Linked DNA regions of Styela clava. The protein of the gene in region 2 binds, or shares a complex with, the protein of the main gene of each other region. Links are inferred from orthologs where the notes say so. Each region holds a gene or a part of one and is shown on either strand. Other genes may lie near its edges.

Region 1 (10,931 bases), on a different chromosome or scaffold from region 2:
TATTTTACCCGATTAGTTTCATTGCAAATTGATAGAAATAAATAAAATTATAGAATATTATTATTCGACTGTCAAAGATGGACAAGGCGAATGACTTTTTATCGGTATCGCAGAAGGTCACTGATTAAGTCAAGGATACAAAGGATTTTCAGTCAGCACGATGACATGTCTCATGACAACTCATTAAAGTTTTTAAATTAAACTCAAAATAAAACCCTGATTAAAAATTTGACTCAACTTTCTTCTAAATTTACAAATTTTACCCACTTGAATAATTTGGATTGGATAATCAATTCGAAGCACACAAGTCGTGTTTTTGTCTCAACAATCACAAAAAGATTTTCGATTTATCCTTTAAATAACAGTGAGCAAAATATATCTCACATTAGGCCAAAGTACCAACTACAACGAAAAACTTCCAAATGAGCAGGCTTTCATCCCTACTCTGCTGGGAGCTTTTGAATATATTTCGTGATGAAACCTGAAACGTGCCGCCTGATGTTCTCGATCGTGAAACGAAAACATCAAAACATTGAAATGTGTACCGAAGGCATCACGTACACTTTCCTCGTCTTGAAAAGGGTGCGCGTAAATACTAGAGTTCAATATAATAGGGCTATCTTTTGTTTATTTGCTTGCAGTTATAACGTAATTAGCTATTTTTTTTTATTGAAACATCCCCAACAACCACAATTAATTTTGTCATTAAATGTCCGAAACAAACACATAAAATCATCAACAAATGCATATCACCAACTCTTAAGAAGATATTGCTGAATTGATCTTTTTGTTACCATTTTACATGTAATGATTTTTGGTAAACCTGTTATCTATCGTAATTACAGCACATTTGACTATGTTGTAGTGTAATTTTTTGGCCTAACTTTTTTGATATTTGTAGTTAGATCTCTTGGGGCTCTGTCAAACAAAGTTACATACAAAATATTGGTTGTAGGTTGCAAAACATGATCATGTTGTTGGAATAACTTGGCATTTTACCACCCGTAAACCATTCATTGTCGAGAATATTGATGAAATCATAAAATCTAAAACCCGTTCTCGTGAATTTTTTGTTTCAAGTTTTGTTCGAAGCATTATTTGTTGACGTTTATCTCAAAGACCGAATTGTAACTTGCGGTACTATTCGCCGATCCCCACGGTCTGATAATTCTAGAAATGAAGATTTTTCTAATCTCATGAACACTGTTTTACCCTCATTATCAGAACATATTATAATGATGGGTGACCTTAATTATGATCTGATGGACTAAGTTGATAAATCAATATTCTTTTTATCCCACTATAACCAAACCGACCAAAATAACCAAAAACAGCGCAACAATTCTTGATCATATATGGACAAACATATACGAGCGAAAACCTGTCAGTGCTATTCTAACTGATGCAATCTCTGACCACCTACCTGTAATGCAGTGCATGTCGACAGAACAAAAAACACTTAAAAACGAAGAAAACATTTTTCCTCGATCATTTAATCCGACCAATATGACTAAAGTATTCTTACTACAGATCGCTTTTGAGTAAAACTTTAAACTATCTGAAAAATCGTAGCAAACAATGAATACCCTGCTAGGTCGATGCAAATCTAAACTGTCAAATGTATTTGGTGTAGGAAATAAGGAAACGTGTGATCCTGTATTGATAGCTGATCATTTCAATGATGATTTTTTTACGTTACAGGAAAACGAATGGCTGATAAATTCACTAATGATAACGACGGTAACTTTATGAGGTAGGCTACATGAGCAAATCTAGTAACTCATCAATGTTTCTGGCATCGGTAACAGCCACAAACATACAAGCTATTATTCGAGCTTTTAGACCTAAATCCTAAATCAAGCTTGATGGAGTCCCCATTAAAAGGTTATCAGAACGATGCAATGGAACTACATGCTCTCTCTTATACATGTTTTTAATCCTTCTCTTCAATCGGGACCATTTTTAGATGAATTTAAAATCGCTAAAGTAGTACCGCTTCATAAAGGCGGAGACTTAAAAAATGTCAAAAACTATAGACTGATTAGCTCAATGCCATCTTTTTCAAATATTTTAGAAAAAGTCGATCATTCAACAAAAAATATTAACTTATCATGCTGAGTACGGATGGCGGAATCGAGTCCGGAGTTAATACTAGAATCGATTCCGATGAATTAGAATCGAATCTCGAGGTTAAAACTTGGATTACAAACAATGTGTAACGTTTTGTGGCAAATCCTTCACTTTCATGCATAAACTGCTTTACTGCTATGTTGATTTGATACGACACCGCAAACTGTACAATATATATTGCTAGAAGGACTCTGCGTTTATTATTATCTCCCTGAGTTCTGAGGTTTTTATTTTTGTGCGATTTTGTTTCCTGTGACAGATTGGATACTCGTACTACTTAGTTTCGGCCTTCTTGTCCGTCTGCGAAAAATCGCCACATTAAACTTAAATTTAAGGCGCACATGCACCTTCTATTGCTGTGCTGAAAACCTTTCACAATGAGACGTGTAGCATGTGTTGTTTTTATTTACTTATTATCAACGTGGAGGATGATTTTGTTTCTGTGTCAGGGCCAAAGCGTTAAAATCAATCGACCTCCAGCCAACGGCATTCTGATTATGGAAAGTACTGATATGCATTTTTTACAATAATATCATTTATCATCGAATTCAAGGTGGCAGGATTTTATTAATTTTACAAAACTAATAACGAGATGCACCATTGAAGTCGGTGCCCACACAAGTAATAGGAAGAAAAAAAGAAAGAGGGATTTACATTTATTTGGTAATTACAGAACATAAACATATGCCAGGGATGACGAACCACTGACCCGCAGGTTACAAAGTGAGCCATCGCGTTTTATTCGTGACCCGCCAAGGCAGGAATAAAATTAAAAAAAATGCTAATATATCAAGAATAAAAATTGATAAAACCGGCCTTAAATTAATCTAACAATAACTGAACTATTATAATGTACCGTCAGTTGGGCAGTCAGAGCTGCGATCGCTCATATTCAAATTGTTAATTTTGAGAGCCGGTATGGTAATTTTCAAAACCCCTAATCTTGGACGCATATCTGCATCGCTGTTATTCAGCTATTGGCTTTGACATCGTTTATGACTTAACAATACAATCGATCTGTTCATTTCTCACAACGTCTTGTCTTGTCTCTTTCGGAAGTACATCTGCAGACTGTTTTGGAGGATATACGAGAACTAGATGCTACTTTGCATTTTATTAGTTGCTCGCCTACGATGCCGTTGGGAAAACAAAATCTTTCAGACTTGAAATAAAAACCTAGAAATCTGAAATAACATTGGGGCAGTGAAAAAGTGCTTCACTGTGATTGAAAGCTGATCGAAAAATATAACACCATCAGAGTGGAATTACCTCCAAAATCTTTGAATCCGTAAAATATTTTTTCCGAATTATCACGTTTTGGGCAACGACTAACGGTTTTTGGTAATTCATATGCGTGTTTTCGTACTCTAATTTTATAAAATCGAGTGCCATAAAAATTCCACGATAGAAGTGCTGCATAAGTAAAGCCCAAAACTACACCAACAGAAGCCCATAAGATTTGTTTCAGAGGTTTTTTATAGATACAAACATTGATTAAATATCTGAGACCATGGTTAACCATGCTGAGACCCACTCTCTTCCGTTCCGCGATAAAATTATAATTTTTGACCATCTAAATCAGCTTCCGTGTGCAGTTTGGGGTCAATGATGAGGGAGGTGGACAAATTGTACATAATAATCATTATTTGTGAAATGGTCAAGAGTAAATTATTTTACGTTAGCAGTTCGCATAAAAGCAAACCGTCTGCCAGAAGGTGGCAGTATTGAGCCAATAAGGATTTGATTAATTTTTGTTAGATAGCCTATCACTAGAACGCAGGCGCCGTTTCACAGTAAGCCTGTCTAGCTTACCGCTACCCGCGAGTTTATTACAAATTGCCTAGACAGCGTAGGTTTATTTGTTAGTGTACGCCGTACTGCATGTAAACTAGCTACTAGCAGTAAACTATTACCGTAATACCCGGATAATGCATACATATATCATGATTGTAAGTTGAAAGATCGAAATAAAATTGTATTGTAAGAATAGGATTTCATAGGCTACCGGTAGCTCTGAGGAAGTCTGTAAGTAGACTTTTTCTCATCCTGTTATAGCCTAGCTTTTGGACTACTCGTAACGCTTCCCTTTTTTCATCGGACTAGAGAGCCAATAGCTGAATACAGGAATAACGGTACACAGCGGTGCTGATTGCTCACCAATAAAAATCGGTTTAAAAGGTTTTTAAATCAATAATCCAGTAATATCTGAATATGAAGATGCCAACAAATTTTTGCTCCACAATTGTTGACTAACGTAAGTTACCCTATTATCGCCACTTGCCAATTTTCACCACACTCTCTTAAAATCGCACTGCTGCAGTTGCACTTCAGCACTTTCAGATAGCGCTGAATACGAGTTGTTTTCGGATTGCGACGTCATAAGTGATAAGTATGAAACATATTATGTCGCCCGGTGGAGTACAGACATTTTAATAAAAACATGAATTTTTGAAAAATATAAAAATCAACTGATATCACGCGCGGTCAACTTTTTGGGAGGCGGTAATTACTAATTATCAGCCCAAATAGCGCGACGATGTTTATTTCTTTTAGTTTTTATCAGTCCGTGTTAGATCTAGGTTGAATCAAGTTTGACATGGGAAGTGTTTGTAAAAATTGTGCTATTATTAACTCTCGCATCCACAGGGTGGCGATAATAGAAAAAGAAACTTATGGCTCGCCAAAAGAGAGAACCGAAAAAATCGTGAAAAAACAAAGCAGCAATGCTCAAATATATGAGCACGAAAACCAAAACGAAGTGGTATCAAATCTTCCACAATAACAGTAGTCTCCCTTATTAAAAAAAATTCCGATTTCGATGACCGCCAGAACGCCTAAATGTGATCGCAGAACCGCCATGCTAAGATGCACAATTATTTATTTTGATGACCTCATCGCATAAAACTTAGGGAGTGAAAAACGAATCTCGTAGGGCCGACAAAAATGTTTGAAATAAATAAAAGTAATAGCCTTTCAGCGGCCGCAATAATATTTAATCGTTGAAAATTTCAGAGCAATTGATTATGTATTTAAAGAGAAAAGCGTTTGGAAAAAAAAGTTTGACATAAGTGGCGATAATAGGATAATCGTAGTTCCTATTATCGCCATACCCACATTTCTGCTATATTCGTGAGGTGTCGCTATAGCAAATTCATTTCGCGACTCAATGCTGTTGGCATTTTTTTCTCCGATTGGTAGCTAATGTTCCGGGACAATAGAGAAAAAATTGTTACTTTAGAGTATAGTAGTCTTCGGATGGATTGCAGTAAAAAGTGACGATAATAGGGTAATTTATGTTACATACTAGCTTGCAAGATTTGGCCTGACCGAAAAATGCGAAGCAAAAAAGACAGTATTTCAAAATTGCTTAGCGCTGTGGCGCATCGTGTTGAGTGATAGGAATCCCGTGGGAATAGTTATGGGCGAAAAGATTGGCAGACTAGTCGGCGCTGGTCAGTTATGGCTCTGATTCAGCGTATTTTTTATACAATAATTTTACACGGATGTACTGAACAGTACCAGTATCTGAAGTCGCACAAATACTCTCAAAATTAGTGACAAGGTATAGAAATAATATTTGGGGTCAAAGGTCAAATGTCCATGTTCAAATGTTTGTTCTGATTCAACATATTTTTATCCAATAATTCCATGTAAAAACACTCCCAAAATTAACAGATTAGTAAAAAGGTATGTTCATTTTGCTCTGTTTCAACGTATTTTTGATCCAATAATTTTAAGCGGATGTACTGAACAGTACCGGTATCCAGAGCCGCACAAACACTCAAAATTAATGACAAAGTATAGAAATAATGTTTATGGGTCAAAGGTCAAACGTCCATTTTTGCTCTGATTTAATGTAGTTTTTATCCAATACCAGTAATTTAACGCGGATGTATCGAACAGTATCTAAAGTCAAAATCAGTTGCACGTGAACGCAGGTGTTTTGCATGTCATGAGCTATAATTGCACGCCTGGAATTCTGATTTGCATGCGGGAATTTCTGATTGCACGCCCGATTTCTCGTTCAAAAAGGCCATGAAATCCAGACTGGCCTGGGCATATACCACCATATTTACCTCTTATTTATTTGAGTATAACTTTCCTTTACAGATTGTATAAAACAATATAAATATCTGTATGATAGCATAACAAAAATGACTGCATATGGAGATGCCCAAAAATATTTTTTGCAAGCTATGATGCAAAAAGGATCAGCGACTGACCATGAGTGTGACTCACTCTTAGATGAGTGCTTCAAGGTTTCAGAAAAAAATAGAGACCAGTGGACACTATCATCGTTTATAACATCTGTAAATAAACAAATTCAACCTTTCCACCTAGAAATAAGGAAAGGCAATGATGAAGATTCTGGACAAGATGTCTATGCACTAATAAGTGTCACAGATCATGATATAAATCATTTAGTAATTGGAGGAAATTTCACGAAAATAGAAATTGAAATTTTTCACCGAGCTGTTGATCTTATCGTTAGCTCAAATACAGGAATGGTTTCATCTACTGATATCCTCAACATAACGGAAGAATTGCCTCAGAAAAATATTTTGAAATCTGAAATCGAGATTCTGATTACAAAGCTTGTGAAACAAAATTGGATTGGAGAGAAAGATGGGATGGTATACCTCACCCCTCGTTCAATACTAGAGTTGGAACCGTATATAAAAGCTGAATTGAAGAATGAGGTTTTATACTGCAACATATGCAAAAGTATGGTCTTAAAAGGAGTTAACTGCAAGAGATGCAGAAGTAGAATACACTTGTACTGTGCCTCCACTTATTTCAGGGGTAGATCAATGGACGAATGTAAATGCCCAGTCTGTCATGATGTCATGACGTTACTTCCATCCTTGCCCAATATGGATACATCTCGTGTAAACGGAAGTATGGAAGGTCTGACACCAACAATTAATGAACGTAGAAAACGAAGGCGATGAATGGAAATACTATTCTATACTCAATAACAAAGATTATGGGATATTTCTCGACTATTGTGAATGCTCCACACTTTGTCTGGAGCATTCAAGTTATTTTGAATGAATAAGATTAGGTTTCAGAGTGAAATCATATGCCAAACTGTGTCAATTTTGTATAACAAAAAAATACTTCATAGAACAACATAGTTAAATGGAGATTACTAAGCTGTGTTAATGTTTCGCATAACTTCGTGGCAAAATGAACATACTTTTCAAAGTTGTTTAATGTTTTAGTATATTTTTCAATTCGGTGTGCCACCCATTTATGAATATGTACATACACTAGATGTGATACTATGTAATATTTTACAAAGTATATTTGCTTTATACATTCTAATTTTAGGTGAATATGGCAAAAATTATGACTACCAGTGTTAACTCTAAGCAAATTATGAGTGCGAAAGTGCTTCGCAGTCCAAAAAAAAAGTGCGAAAGTGCTTTTGCCGATTTTAACAAGTTAGGTGCCCTAGCCTTTCATATAACCCATTTAAAACGGCATAGATACTCGAAAAAGCGCTCCTCCGGTTAATATTATGAATTAAAGAGAAGCCTTTTCGTTAACGGAATCCCTTTAAGCGAATTCATGTTTAATTAAAACAAGCGAATTCATCGGCAACGAAATGACATCTGCTAACACCTGCCTACCTACTTTCATGCAATGTATCACGGTGTCAGTTGCTTACTCGCGTAAACAGCAAAGACTTTCACATTTGTTACTCCTTCCATCTAACAGACACGAGGCCGGCTGGAAACCATATTAATTACAGGGTGGATCGTTTGTACAAATCCGGTGCAAAATAATCCCCCCCCCCCTCAAAAATAAATAGCAATCAACTAATTAGGGTTAGGTGCGCTAGAAATTCAACTTTTCGATTCATCCCTAAACCTAATCTGATAATTATTAATTTGTGATTTTGAACCGCTTTGAAAGTCGCCACCCGCTGTTTTAAAAGATAGGTTAACCTACGTTCCCTCCGAAATATTATGCAGGATACTCCCCTGTTTTAGGAGATAGGTTGACCTACTTTCCTTTCAAACTTTTTTCTCCGAAATATTACACAAGATCACTTTGAAAATCCTCCTGTTTCGTGAGCTAGCGTGACCTAATTTCTCATTTACATTTATATTATACTATTTCAGAGCTTCCCCAAAGACAAGTAATTTTTAAATGTCCACATGCCTTGGTTTGCGTGCGAGTTAGTTTAAATCGGGCAGAAAACATCATATATTGGCAAAATGTTTAGTAATGTCATGTACTTTCAGCATTCATAAATAGCACTCTTTGTAATGCTGCTGACCTAGTATCAAATATTCGCATCACAACGCCACTTGCGAGGTTTCCATATATTTCAATTACACTAATAGGAACGATGACATCAAAGAGTTTTCTTTTGCGAAGGTACACTAAATATAACGAGGGTGATTCTTGAGAAAAACATGAATATAAAAAATAAACGAATGATATGATAATGGATCCCAAATAATTTTGAGAGTGTCTCGAAATACCAATCCATTTGATAAATAATTTTTATTCGACCACATGAACGCTGATATCCTGAAAATTAATGTTGAAAGCGAATTACGCATTCTCAAATATCGGACATTCAGTCCCGATATTCAATCGTTCATATGCACAAATCTCACATTAATAGTAATTGCTACCCAAGTTTGTAAAGTTTAGAAACCAACAAACAGAAAATAACTAACCTAAAACACAATTAAAATTCAGTCGGCAATAAATTCGTCGCCAAGACGATGCCATACAAAACAAAAAAGATTTGGTCGCGAGAGTTACGTGAGATGACTGCCTTTGTTTTTTAAGCAGAATGTAAAAAAATTTATAATTAATAAACGGGAGTTACGACGCCCTTTACACATCGTGTGTATTAAACTTCCCTGGTAGGTACTTTGGTGAGTACTATTATTATTGTACCTATACACCTGTTGGAGTATTTCGGACAATTTCGAATTTAAAATAAATGAAAACCAGACATATAATGAAGACGCAAAAGTAAAATGAACATTTATTGAAAAAGTTATTATTTAAGAAAGACAACATGATCGTACAATTCCGCCAAAACCTCGATGTTCGCAAGTGAGATGATAAATAAATACTTCCCTGTATTCGATCAATTAACTTTAGCGTATCGTTGTTCTGCCAACAAACAGCCGGGTGCAAAATATTTCCGTCCTGTGATATGCTCAAATATTCCCGATATTAATATCATACCCTCGCGTATGTACTTTCTATTAGCTCTTTAGTGATCCCTTCCATCCTTGGCCAAGTCATGTTTCGAATATGTGAACATTTTATTCGGCCATACATGGCCGGCGGGATGTTAAAATTGTAAACAAGAGAGAGGTAAAATCAATCGCGAATTTCGTTATAAAGGCTCGTTTACGAATTGTTGCGCCTGTTATCGTCGAAAATGCTTACACTTGCTGTATTTTGAGGCATTCAAGCAGTAATAATTAGGGCATGACATCATCAAAATCGTCAAGTGAGATCTTGATATTGCAAATTCCGTAAATAAAATTGCGAATTATTCGGTAACGAATTCAGCTTTAATGACCGTCGGGGTATTGTTTTGTTGAAAATTATTATTAATTTGAGAGCGCCAAAAACATACAGTCCATACCGATGCGACTGCAATTTATATGGTCGCAATTGGTGTGGCGCGTTTATTAATAGTGTAAAATAAATTAAACGAATATCAATTATAACCAAGCCTGTCAGCGTGTTTATGTTCTGTGGGCAGGAATTGTAAAATACCATCTTGAGACAAATTCACTTCCATTATAAAATCTTAATTTTCAGTTATTATCGTTATACAAATAACGTGTGGCAACTTTTTAATTTATCGTCGATCAAAAAACCGCCCCACACTCGTCCAAACGTGTGTCGAGCTTGAACGACAGGAACAGATTCATCGACGACCTTAATTAGGGAAAATATGTATTTTATTGGGAATGCAAAATAAATGTAACAAAACGCATGTTTTGTGATATAACTTTGTATTTTCGGAAACGGGTTGCCGTGAAAGGTAAAATTTGATCTAAATTAATTGCAAAAATGTTTTATTTTAAATGTAACAAAACACATTTTGCGATATAACCTGGTATTTTCGAAAACGGGTTTCCTGAAAAGTAAAATATGATCTAAATTAATCGCAAAAATGTTTTATTTTAAATGTAACAAAACACATTTTTCGAGATACAACTTTATTTTCAGATACCGGGTGTCATGGAGAGTAAAATGTGATCTGAATTCACCGTAAATGATGTTTCATTCCAAATGTATCATAACGCATTTTTTTGCGATATAACTTTGTATTTTCGAAAACGGGGCGTCACGAAAATTATTAATCTAATGTTTTATCTATCGTCTAACTAACGTCTGGAACACATCACTAGCCCGCGAAACGTCATTTAATTTAAAATAGAGAATGTTTCACGCATTTCAAAACGAAAAATCACCAGTAAGTGGACAGGGATTCAACCCTCCGGATTCAGTATTCTATATCCCCGTGTCAGAACTTTCTGAAGAATGGAACAAAGAACCCGTCAAACCGCCGCGGAGAAAGGGGAGTATTTTTGCACTAATAATTAGGGCGTGACAACATCAAAATCGTCAAGAAACTGGTGAATTTGCAAATTCCATAAATAAAATTGTGAATTGCTCGGTAACATTTTAGCTATAATTATCGCCGGGGTATTGTTTTGTTGAAAACACGTTGAAACTTGAGGGAATTAGTTACAATTAGCGCCTGACGTCTATTAGGCACTCGAGCACTCGAAAAAAAAAGCACT
Region 2 (10,943 bases):
ATTTTATGCTTGATGGGGAAAAAACTGAGTGTTGACAAGAAAGAGCCACACTAAATGGCTTTGTGAGAGGATTGTAGCCTGTCGGCCACCTGTTGCACATCCCTGTACTAGATTATCTAGGAAGGAACAAAACCGAATATTTCACTATTCCGAATACATTCTGAGAAATATTTTTGGATATAGAATACCGGTACTTTGTAAATTGGGTGCAAGTTCATGTGGGAAATTACATAAATCATATATCTTTAGGTTGATCACATCTAAAACAACACAAATATAAAGCTCATTGTGTTATTTGTTATCAGTTGAAATATTATAGTATTTGATTAGTTCGTCCAACGACACAAAATCCCAAAAAATCACAAAATTTTAAATGAAAATGTTTTAAATTATGCCTGAATTCAAAAATTTACTATATCAAATAACGAATTTCGGTTCTAATCATTCAAAAATGTTTTAAATTAATCCTGAAATTAAAAATTCACTACATCAAATAACGAATGCTGGTTCTAATAATTCGATTCCTTTTGGACTGTCCTAATACCGCCATTGCTAACATTGGAATCGGATTTCCATTTTGTTAACGTAACCCCGTCACACAGAAACGAGATCAGGAAGTTATTGTATTTGAATACTTTCGAACGTTATTTACTGTGCATTGGAACAGCAGTTTTACATATTGTTCCAAAATGCGAGAGAGAGGTAACAATGACTCATCGATTTTAACAAAGAGTAATTTTGCATTCGGAGTCTGAAATTGTGCTGAATGAGTCTTGTCATGAAAATGGTATTTATGTGAATTTGGAAAGTAATTTTAGATAACTTAAATGGAATGAATGTGGTGAATCTAGGGCCAACAAGCTACTCAACCAGAAAACTTTTTTTTTATTTTATGATAAATCGTTGTCATAGTTTTATATATTAATTTTCTCTCTAAGTTACCGTAATTTCATCATTTCATGTCACATTATATCCTTGTATATAAGCAGACCCCCTAAAACGGGTTTAGAACCGCAAATTTATAAAAATTCGCATATGGGCCGACCCTACAAATCGTATCACACCGCACGCACCTTCCACAGCAAATTGTTGCAGAAGATAATTAATGAAATTTAGTGTGATCAAAGTTATGCGCGTATAAACTCGACTTATATGCGAGAATGTATGGTACTTTCTAAACGCAGTCTAATAAAAAATAACTTTTTAAAAACGGACTGATATTTTGTGACACATTTCAATTATCTAGCAATGCACCGATGCGTCATAGCACTAACTTTGGAAACCACTGTTTTATGCAATTACTACTTCTCATTTCTCCTCAAGTTAATCAGTAGCATGGACGTAATGCATTACTATATATCTACGTATATTCAGTAGATAATGGTATTTTAGGGATCGTTCATACATTTGCTCATAATAATTCCTCTTTACACCTAAGAGGTATTTTTTCCAATCCAATATTTTCCAAAATGAGTTTGTTTTGGCCATGAAATACTTGGCTAACGTACCAAGAACTTGAATATATTCAGTCTTTTATTGAGCGATAATTCATTCACGGATATAATCACAAATTTAAGAAAATGGAAAAAAAATTACTTCAAAAGTCATATAAAACCTAAATGAAAATTTAGCCATTGTACACAGTCACCTTCTATATACAGATACAAGATAAAGAAAATGTTCTCGTTAGGCAGGATAAGATATTGAAGGAAGATAGCCACAAAACAACCCCATATAAATGCAAACTGACAACCATTTTTCCTATTTTTTATATGCAATCGTCGGTATTACATCTCTTTAGTAATATGTATGGAGGACCACTGGAAAATCAAAACAACGATTCATATGTACAGCAAATCACTTTTAAAAGTAGATGAATACTTTCTTAATTTTAATATTAATTTGTTTAATAAGTTGGTGGTCAGGGACTAAAGATGAAAAATTCTGTGCCATAATAAACTCACTCAGACAGTAAACAGAAATAATACAGAAGGCCTATTACACATTGGATGCATGCATGACAATGTTTACTTTTGTGTACTTTTAGCTTGGTATTTGGTAAAGTTAATGATTAACTAGAATTTGAGGTTTGTATTTTTCACTCTTCGAGAGTTCTTTGTGTGCAAAGTGAGGGATAAATTCACTACTAACACTGAAGCCTATTTCGAAATAACTGGAATACCAACTTAAATACAGTATAAATTAAATGTTATAACAGCAAACAAATTGTATTGTTTCAAAAGGAGAATACACAACTGACATTAATATATATTTCTATAGTATTTAACCTGCGATAACTAATCATCGACTTTTGAAATTAAGATTGTTTTAAAAGAAGTATAAATTAAAGATAAACAAAATCTACAATTAATTTTTGTTGTTACATAAAACTCGAATGGACCGTAAATGTTACCAGTGGCATATCTGAAGAATGACAGCCATGGATTGTGTGCCGAAAAGGCCTTAATCGCAAAATGTTTCAATAGAATAATTTCAAACTGGGAATTTATCTCTACCGAATAGGTTGTTCCAGAACTTTTATATTATCTAGGTTGCCCAATCATCCGAATGTTTAGATTAGGATCATTTTAATAAAGACCTTTGTTAATTGACTTTGAAATCGTACCTAATAAAGCTGTATAAGGATATTCAATACAAAAACTTGTTATTGCACAAGGATGCCAATTACGTCTATGAATTGTTTATTAAATATGACAATGTTGGAAACAAAACCTACTTTTCCCAACTACTAGAAGACCCATAACTTTAAATCAAAATAGTTTGAATTTTTTCAGTCACACTAAAGTACTTTTGTTGAACAAAACGAACAGAAAACTGTGTGAACTTTTTTCAATAAAAGATTCCTTATACAAGAGTCATAAGCCTAAAAACTGATTCTTATATTTCGAAAGTTTTATTATTAATGAGGAGTTGAAAAAAATATCAATATGCCATTCAGATCTTATGGAATTGAAAACAAACACAATGAATGCCTGTTCCAGTATACAAACATGGTACAGAAAAGGATTCCAACTCTATTCAATCTAGTAACTCGATATACACAAGTTTAATTTTTACAATGGAAGGACTCGGTTGCATCATGAGACGTTGGTTAGGCCAGTGTGCGTTTCCACATCAGTCTCGAAGGACTGAATAAAACCAAGATAGTACTTATTCAACAGCGATGATTTATTTTTTTTCTGATGTTTAATGTCTTTCCCTCTGAACAAGGATCTGTGTAAGCTACTACTATATCATGGAAGGACCAGAATCTGGCGTTCCAGAAGTGTATGTACCAATTTGGAACATCAAGTTGTGTAAAGGGACTGAAACCTATGGCAGGGTATATTCACTTGGCTAACACAGACAGTCCTCGAGCTCGTAATAAAACTAAAATAAGGAAAATCGGAATAAAATTATGGCCTAACCCTAACCTGGTATACACACTAATAGAGTAGGCTACCTTATTTATTACATCCTGGTTAAGATAGTGGCCATGAGTGAGTTTTTGATTTACCGAACTTAAACCTGCAATGCTAACATTGTGAATCCACAGAATCTTTTAATCAATAGGTCACCGTTTGAAAAACTCTTTAAATTGGTATCAAATATAACATTAAAATTCTATTACAGATTTCACTTGAATTTTCAGTGCTCTGCTGTAATGTTGTTCAAGATGAGTGTCCTTTACTTTTACGTTAGTGTGTAATCTTGCTTAAAGCAAAAGATAGAATACCGAAAAATACAATTTTTCAAGAAACTATGCCAAATAAATGAATTACTTACCGCCAGTTCAGTATTCTCCAGAAGCTCAATTTTATTCATTTTCGCAAAATCAGCAACTTTTTCTTGCGGAAGAAACTGACATAGATTGGAAAGTTGAATGTTCAAGCCGCTTACAGTCTCTTCAATAATTTTCGCTGATACCTGATTGAATATCAAAGTTAGATTTTATTTTATTTACCATAAATGGTAGAATACTCTGAGTATACTTACCAATACTCCGTCCCTGTACCATGAAGTTGTTGATTTATTTGAATTTGTGTGCTTTACTATTTCACGACAGATTAGGATGTTTTTAGGTTCATCATATCTGTTAAATGTTAAAAACAGAGGGATTACAGGAAAAGATGAATTACCTAGCAGGGGGGAGCACAAAATATTGTACTGCAGAATATAAATTCTTCCAAGGGTAGGATACCCTATGTAGTAGCAATGATTTTAAACCCCATACAAAAATACCGTAAACAGCATGCTATAGACTCTGATTTAAAACAATTATGTAGATAATAATTTTCGATTAAATTAAATTTAAATATTCAGTTTTTTTTTATGTAAATTAAATTTGGTACTGTTCCAGTATGATGCCGCAAAAAAAAAATTGCTCAAAATTTTCAGTCTCGTTTGCTCAAGTATTCACTCTTCCCGCTTCTTACGCTTCATCGATATCCAGGTCAAATTAATGGAAAAGTAACGATTCTTCACTTACAGTTCAATTTCGATGATTGCTTTGGTTTGTCCATATTTAATATATTCTCCGACATCTTTGGCTCTAGCGAGGTAGTTTGTCTTTCCACCCAATCCTAGACATATTGCACAAACAATGCTGGATTTACCGGTGCCATTTGGACCAATAATGACATTCAACTTTGGATTCAACGAGAACTGGAAGCTGTCATATGTTCTGAAATAGATATGGAATTAAAAAATAAATTCAAATAATAAAATCAATGCAAGACAAGGGCTGTAGCTGTCTCCGACTCAGGACTAAGCTCCAGAATTCCAGCTCCGAAATCTGAGAAAATCAATCAAAAAATTCAGAATTTTTACTTCCACCCAGGAAGTTTAAAAATATGATACTGGCTCAAGTAAAAACAAATTCAAATTCCACACTCCTGGTTCTTTTTTCATTTCTACACGATTCCTATTAATTTCACAGTCTGTTCTCAGTCAGATTTTAGTAGCAACTTTATTATTTCATACTCAAAACACGTTTATTAATTAAAGTTTTTCTACGCAAAGATACAAAAATTTTGATCGTACAAAAAATCTTTCGCAGCAATTCTGACGATTGATCCATGAGTAAATTTTTTCTTCGACTTCCTGTTACTCTGTCCAGAACCAACGACGTACGACTCATCATCTTCCATGACTGCTTTTAGCCTAATGGTAAACCAAATTCTGTTTACAAAGAGAATGATGGACATAAACACAATATTAGACAACTGGTAATGGGTCCTGATGAAATTTACGGTAACTGTTTAATGATACTCAAGCTTTTCTGTTGAATCTCTTCATGTGGATATTTTGGAATTCTTTTTTCCTCCCTCCTAAGCATAAAACTACTTTATTTGTTCAATCATCAATGGATCCTTTGCTAGTACGCAACTCACACACAACTGTGTTTCTGCACAGTTTATTATGTGTTCGTGAACAAGTACTATTTATCGTACTAAAAAAAAAAAATTAGTAATACCACAGTGAATACAAAGCAAAAGTACTCCCCAAAAATGGCAAAAATCCTTCCTGGAAAAGAATTCCTCCCCTTTTGAAAACGTTTCATAACAGGAGTGTGCCTTGTCAAGATTTTTTCATATCAAGCCCAAAAATCTAATCCGACAATTTATGTTACAACTTTTGTTAAAGCTGATGTTAACAAATTATGCAAGAACTCAAAATTTCAAAGTGCTACTCAATCAAAATTTTCTATTGTGGAAATTTTTTGGTTCGATGTGTACATGGTTACCTAAATTGTTTGTGTGGCCCAGCTAGATGAAGTTGGTTTTATGGCCCACCGATAAAAAATGTTGCACGCATCTAGTTTAGACCGAGACTATAAAATTGGGGAACATTTTTAAGAGCTCGACTCTAGGTTGAAAAAATGAAAATTTCGACTGCTCTTGAGAAAATCAAATTTTAATAACAAAATATTTGGCAAATGCAAATACTCTTTAATTATCTGTTCATTTTCTGATCCATTTTCATTTTAAGTTAGGATGAACACAAAAAGGCAATAATCGAACTTATCCAAACCTAACATGAACAGAATCAAAGAGAAGAAATCGGAAAATTAATGGTGACGTAACAATACAGCAATACTGCAATAGGATAGTGCCTCATGAATGAATAACATAAACATATCCTATATGAAAATGAATGGAAAATAGAAGCATCAACGCAGGAAATGTGAATCATAGAACATAATAACAGTCAGATTGAAAATTCCTTATTCAGTAATTCAAAAATTTTATAAAATCATCATAGGTGTCAGCTCTAACTCAATATATTGGTACTCAAAGAGATTTACTCAAGTAATACATGGAACCCAGCAAAACATACAAAAGTAGCCCAACTAGTACACTACTGGTGTTAAATATTCCCCACAAACCAAAGAATCACATAATCCATTAATTCCACACGAATTTTATCATTTCAGCATTTTGATCACTCCCAGATAGAAAGGTAAGACTAAATTAAATTTTAAAATCACCAAAGTTTCATCAATTTTAATTAAAAAACATATATTATTAAATTAAAAACCCCAGTAACGGTGCTGAAGTACGGCACTCAGACACAGAACCGAACTTTGGGTGAGAGAACACGTACTGCTTCTTTTATCAATACCTTTCCATCTAAAATCTGTACGTTTCAAACCTTACTCTAGGTTTTGTTCGCTTTCCCGATTCTATAATCAGTTACTTTTATCTATTTCTTATCGTCTATTGCTGATTATGGAGTCGAAATAAACTTATACTTATACAGAACCTGAAAACGGTGAATAGACAAACTGCCGAGCGTGGGCAAAATAAGCGTGCACTAACAACTGGACGAATGCATGTGTAAAACCACTTTCAAGCCGCAAAACCTACCAACAAATAACTAGACATATTTACAGTTAGCAAAATAATTAACACTTAAACTACAACAAGAAACAAGATATCTATATCACTAAATAAACCTCCTCCGGAAAGACTTCCGCGGAAAAATCCCGAAGCTGAACTGTCAAAACGAGGTGAAGAAAACAAACCAACTCCCGCAGGACGACGTCACGGTTGACAGTTTTGCGCCCTTTGCGGTTTGTTTGTTTCTTTATTTTTTTCAATCATTCGTCTACAACTACTGATGTGCAAAATCAAATCAAAATTCCAACCACCAACGGTAATAAAGAGCAACAAGTTTTCGGTACTTTCCCAGTGCTTTTTGAGTTATACATAGCAATGCTAAAAAGCGTGAATATACGTGTGTGAAGCGAGTTGTAATGTACAATACATGTTGAAAAAATATTGGATTATCTGTTGCGAGGTTTGTATGAGAGTTATACGTTATAGGTATGTAAGCTTAGCCATGAGAATTCCACTGTTTAAGCAACAGACAGGCTGTGGCTGTGCGAATTAGAAATTCCTGCTTTAATTTTGAAGCGCAAGTATTTAGAGTTTCTGTAGTGTAAATGTTAATTTAAAAATTATACAAATTTTGCACCTAGAATCTAGAAGTAAAATACCCGGTTTAAGAGGTGTGATACAGTCTAACGAATTTTTCATAAAACCAGAAAGAAGTGTGGAAACGCACATTTGATTGCTACAATAAAAAAAATTCTAATTGGTTCAATCGTGGTACATAACAGTGTACAATCAAGAGACATATTGATTAGATTGTAGTAACACGTATTTGAGCTCTGTTATCACAAGTGAGATTGCCACACTGGCATGGGGTTCTGCCGACTCCACACAAATTTCTAGTCACGACACGAATAACACACAATAGTAATCGAATCTTTATTTGATTAAAAACTTTGCTGCCTGAAAATCTAATGTATTCCACAAATTTGAATATGTGACTGACTCTTTGTTATTATTTTATTATCCTGGGATCGCCTGCTGAGTCATTATTTCGACTGATATATTTTCCACAGGAGTAGACGTCACTATCCTTTGCTGACTCCAAGCATCTCGTTTCCTCTTCTTCATATGACTGCTCTAAAAGTTGAACAGGTATTTGTTGCTCTATATTTATTGGATCAATCTACGCCTTTCTGCTGAATGATAAGGTTTTCTACTTCTGTCATCAGAATGTTGAATATATAGCGTGGCTTTGCATCTGGCAAAATCAGAATTTTACAGTGCTGTCGATCATATTTAATCGTTAAAACATGTCGCTACAGATATAGCGTAATGTGAATAAGCTTAGTTACTCACGTTTGAAACTGATCTGAACTAGAAAATTATAATTGAAGCAGAAATCTAAAAAATAAGCAGCATAATAACGCAGGGAATCGAAGAACACACTTTATTTGCTCAAAGCAAGGTTAAGGTTTCTATCGACTAAAAGTGGGAAGGAATACTTTTCGGTAAGAGTGCTGGCTTCCGCGATTAAAGTTTTATAAATATCTATAGCAGGGGTGGGCAAGGTAGTTTTCCCCACCGATACCGGCGGGCCATGTAGGTGGAAAGTTACACGTGAACACACACAACAAGTGCACGAGGCGAAAGAAAGAGGTGTGAAATGCACGCTGTCGAATCGAGTGGGCGAGAAAACGTAAAGTTTTGTTAACGTCCTATATAATGAATGTCTGTGGCAACCTAAAATACAACTTACACAGATTACGATCATAATCTAACAAGCCTATTGCAGTGCTAGATTTGAGAGTGCGCGGTATACGCGTGTAATATATATATATATATACATGGATCAAATTAAAAAATAAACTAATTTGTAATAAGAAGGTAATGCAGCGCGTTATGCAGAGTGCGCGTCATATTCGAATAAATACGGTGAGCAATAACTGCTAAGCGAGGCCAAAATTGTCTGCCGGGGATATTTTGGGACAGTGTATTTCAAAGCCTCCATATGTTTTCACTTCTGAATGGTATGAAAATCGAAAGGAGGAAATAAGCTTAGAATATAGTTATCTGTTTAAAATTTTCAAAATTCAATAAAAACAACGATTTTAGTAGACAATACAATCAATTCAAACTTCCAGACGATAGGAGAGTGACATGCGCGGTCAAAAGTAATGATAGAGCTTGTCTCAAAGTTTGAAACCCTGAACAACGCGTAACGCCAATGAATTATGTATTTTTAGTATTCAATGTAACAAATTTTATATATATATATATTTTATTTTTGAAGCAAATTTTATATATATATTTTTTTGTTTATACGGATTAGGCCGACAAGTCTGGAATCCAGCCCAAAAGCCTTCATGCCCAGACTATGCCGACGGAAGTTCTATAGCTCATTTTCTTTTCGAAAAAAGAAGAAATCGCTGGTGTTGTAACCTAAGTTCTGTCTAAGTTCTGGCAGCTTCTGGATCCAACTCCAGCGGTTCTGGCTTGAATAGTCTATCCATGTTTAAGTTAATTAAATTGTTGTAACCTAAGTTCTGTTTATTACTTCACAAACAAATCCATCCACAAATACTAGGCTTTAATTAACTTAAACGTTAGCAGCACCTTAAAGCAGTTCACAATGAAATGATAAAGCACCAACAAAACATGACTCAGATAAAAGCAAGTCGAGTATGACTCGTCAGACAAATTACTGTTGCCAGTAAACAGATAAGTTGAGAATACCAAAATATGCAATAATACAATATAAATTACCACAGCTGGTTCCACATTATTGTGGTTAACTTCCTTTCATCACTTCTATGATTTACGAAATAGAAGACTTACCTAGATCTTATGATACGTCTATGAGCACTATTCTCAATACGTGCGTTTATGCTAGCCAGAGAAATTCGTCCAGTCTGAAAACAAAGGTGCTGGTGACATTTTTTTCGAAACTAGCACCCCCCCCCTTCCTTCAAAAAATAAGGAAAGGTATAACAATGTTTCTGGCATACTCTGGCATAATTATCTTACGGAAAATTGAAAAGCGATTCGTCGGCCAGAACTATCTTTTTGTCTGAACTACAACACAAGGAACGCCATTGTTAAACAAAATGATTCATTGGTCCAACAATTAGCTGAAAATCATACAGTGTACAAATTTACTCCTGTCGTGAGCACGTCATAATAATTTTGAATAATATTGTGAAGTTCGAAAATACAATTCGGAAATTATGGCCATTTAATAAACAGAACTCAAAATTGCCTATCTCATGAAAGATTTTTTGGACCGGTGCAGCAATCTTCAAAGTGTCAGGTTAGCAATACTGAAGTTTTGTAGCCTACTGTTTTTCTTTGTCTCTCATCGTAAAAATGTTACGTACCAGTTCAACCATTGACCTTAATAATAAGTCAATAAAGACCAATGACATTAAACAACATGATAGGCAACTCTGACGTCACTCCATAAGACTACAGGCAAAACATTGTATTTCATGATACGCTCCAATGCACATATTTCTCGTCGCCTTTCGCGTCCGTTTTCCGCTCGCTTTTGCTACTCGGCGTTTTTTTTACGTGTAGTACCTGCCTTTTTGCGCCTGTAACGAAACAAAATAATCTCTATATCTAAGAAGTTTTGCTTACTTGGAAAGCTGGAATAACAGGCAAGCTGTAAAGAGCAATTCTGGACATCATAGACGTTTTTTTTTATCAGAGAAGATTACAAACGCGATAGCGGAAAGATTTGTGTGGAACATTTTGCAGATAATGACAAAGTTCAAAGTTAGTAATTTTAATGTTTGCGCTTAATCATTGAAATTTCATTTAAAGAGGGTGTCATACAAAACTGTGCTGCGATACAATTCCATAACACAAAGTTTGCACCTATCGAACTTGCTTTTGTAGGTGAATTTATTAGACATATTACATATTCAGTTAATCGTAGGTAACATTGCTGGTACATAATGCATCATAGAGGTTTGTTTAAATTTAGGAATTTAGCTCATAGCCCACTAATTAATATTATCTTCTATGCAGGAGGTTGCAGGGCTGAATTCAACTTGCAGCCTTACCGATCACCTGACGATGCTCATTTAGTTTGGCTCGAGCAAG

What was found.
Region 1: structural maintenance of chromosomes protein 5-like (region 2) and non-structural maintenance of chromosomes element 1 homolog share a complex: the UniProt entries of both Homo sapiens proteins name them as parts of the SMC5-SMC6 complex. The link is inferred for Styela clava from reciprocal best matches to the Homo sapiens genes SMC5 and NSMCE1.

The regions. Positions count from the first base shown.
Region 1 is NC_135251.1:24,043,563-24,054,493, reverse strand, and holds the start of non-structural maintenance of chromosomes element 1 homolog, read left to right. Parts: upstream 1-6,226; 5' UTR 6,227-6,284; coding exon 6,285-7,082; 3' UTR 7,083-10,931. UniProt on the Homo sapiens protein: RING-type zinc finger-containing E3 ubiquitin ligase that assembles with melanoma antigen protein (MAGE) to catalyze the direct transfer of ubiquitin from E2 ubiquitin-conjugating enzyme to a specific substrate.
Region 2 is NC_135250.1:26,785,857-26,796,799, forward strand, and holds the start of structural maintenance of chromosomes protein 5-like, read right to left. Parts: upstream 5,203-10,943; 5' UTR 5,151-5,202; coding exon 5,044-5,150; intron 4,685-5,043; coding exon 4,490-4,684; intron 4,094-4,489; coding exon 3,997-4,093; intron 3,928-3,996; coding exon 3,787-3,927; intron 1-3,786. UniProt on the Homo sapiens protein: Core component of the SMC5-SMC6 complex, a complex involved in repair of DNA double-strand breaks by homologous recombination.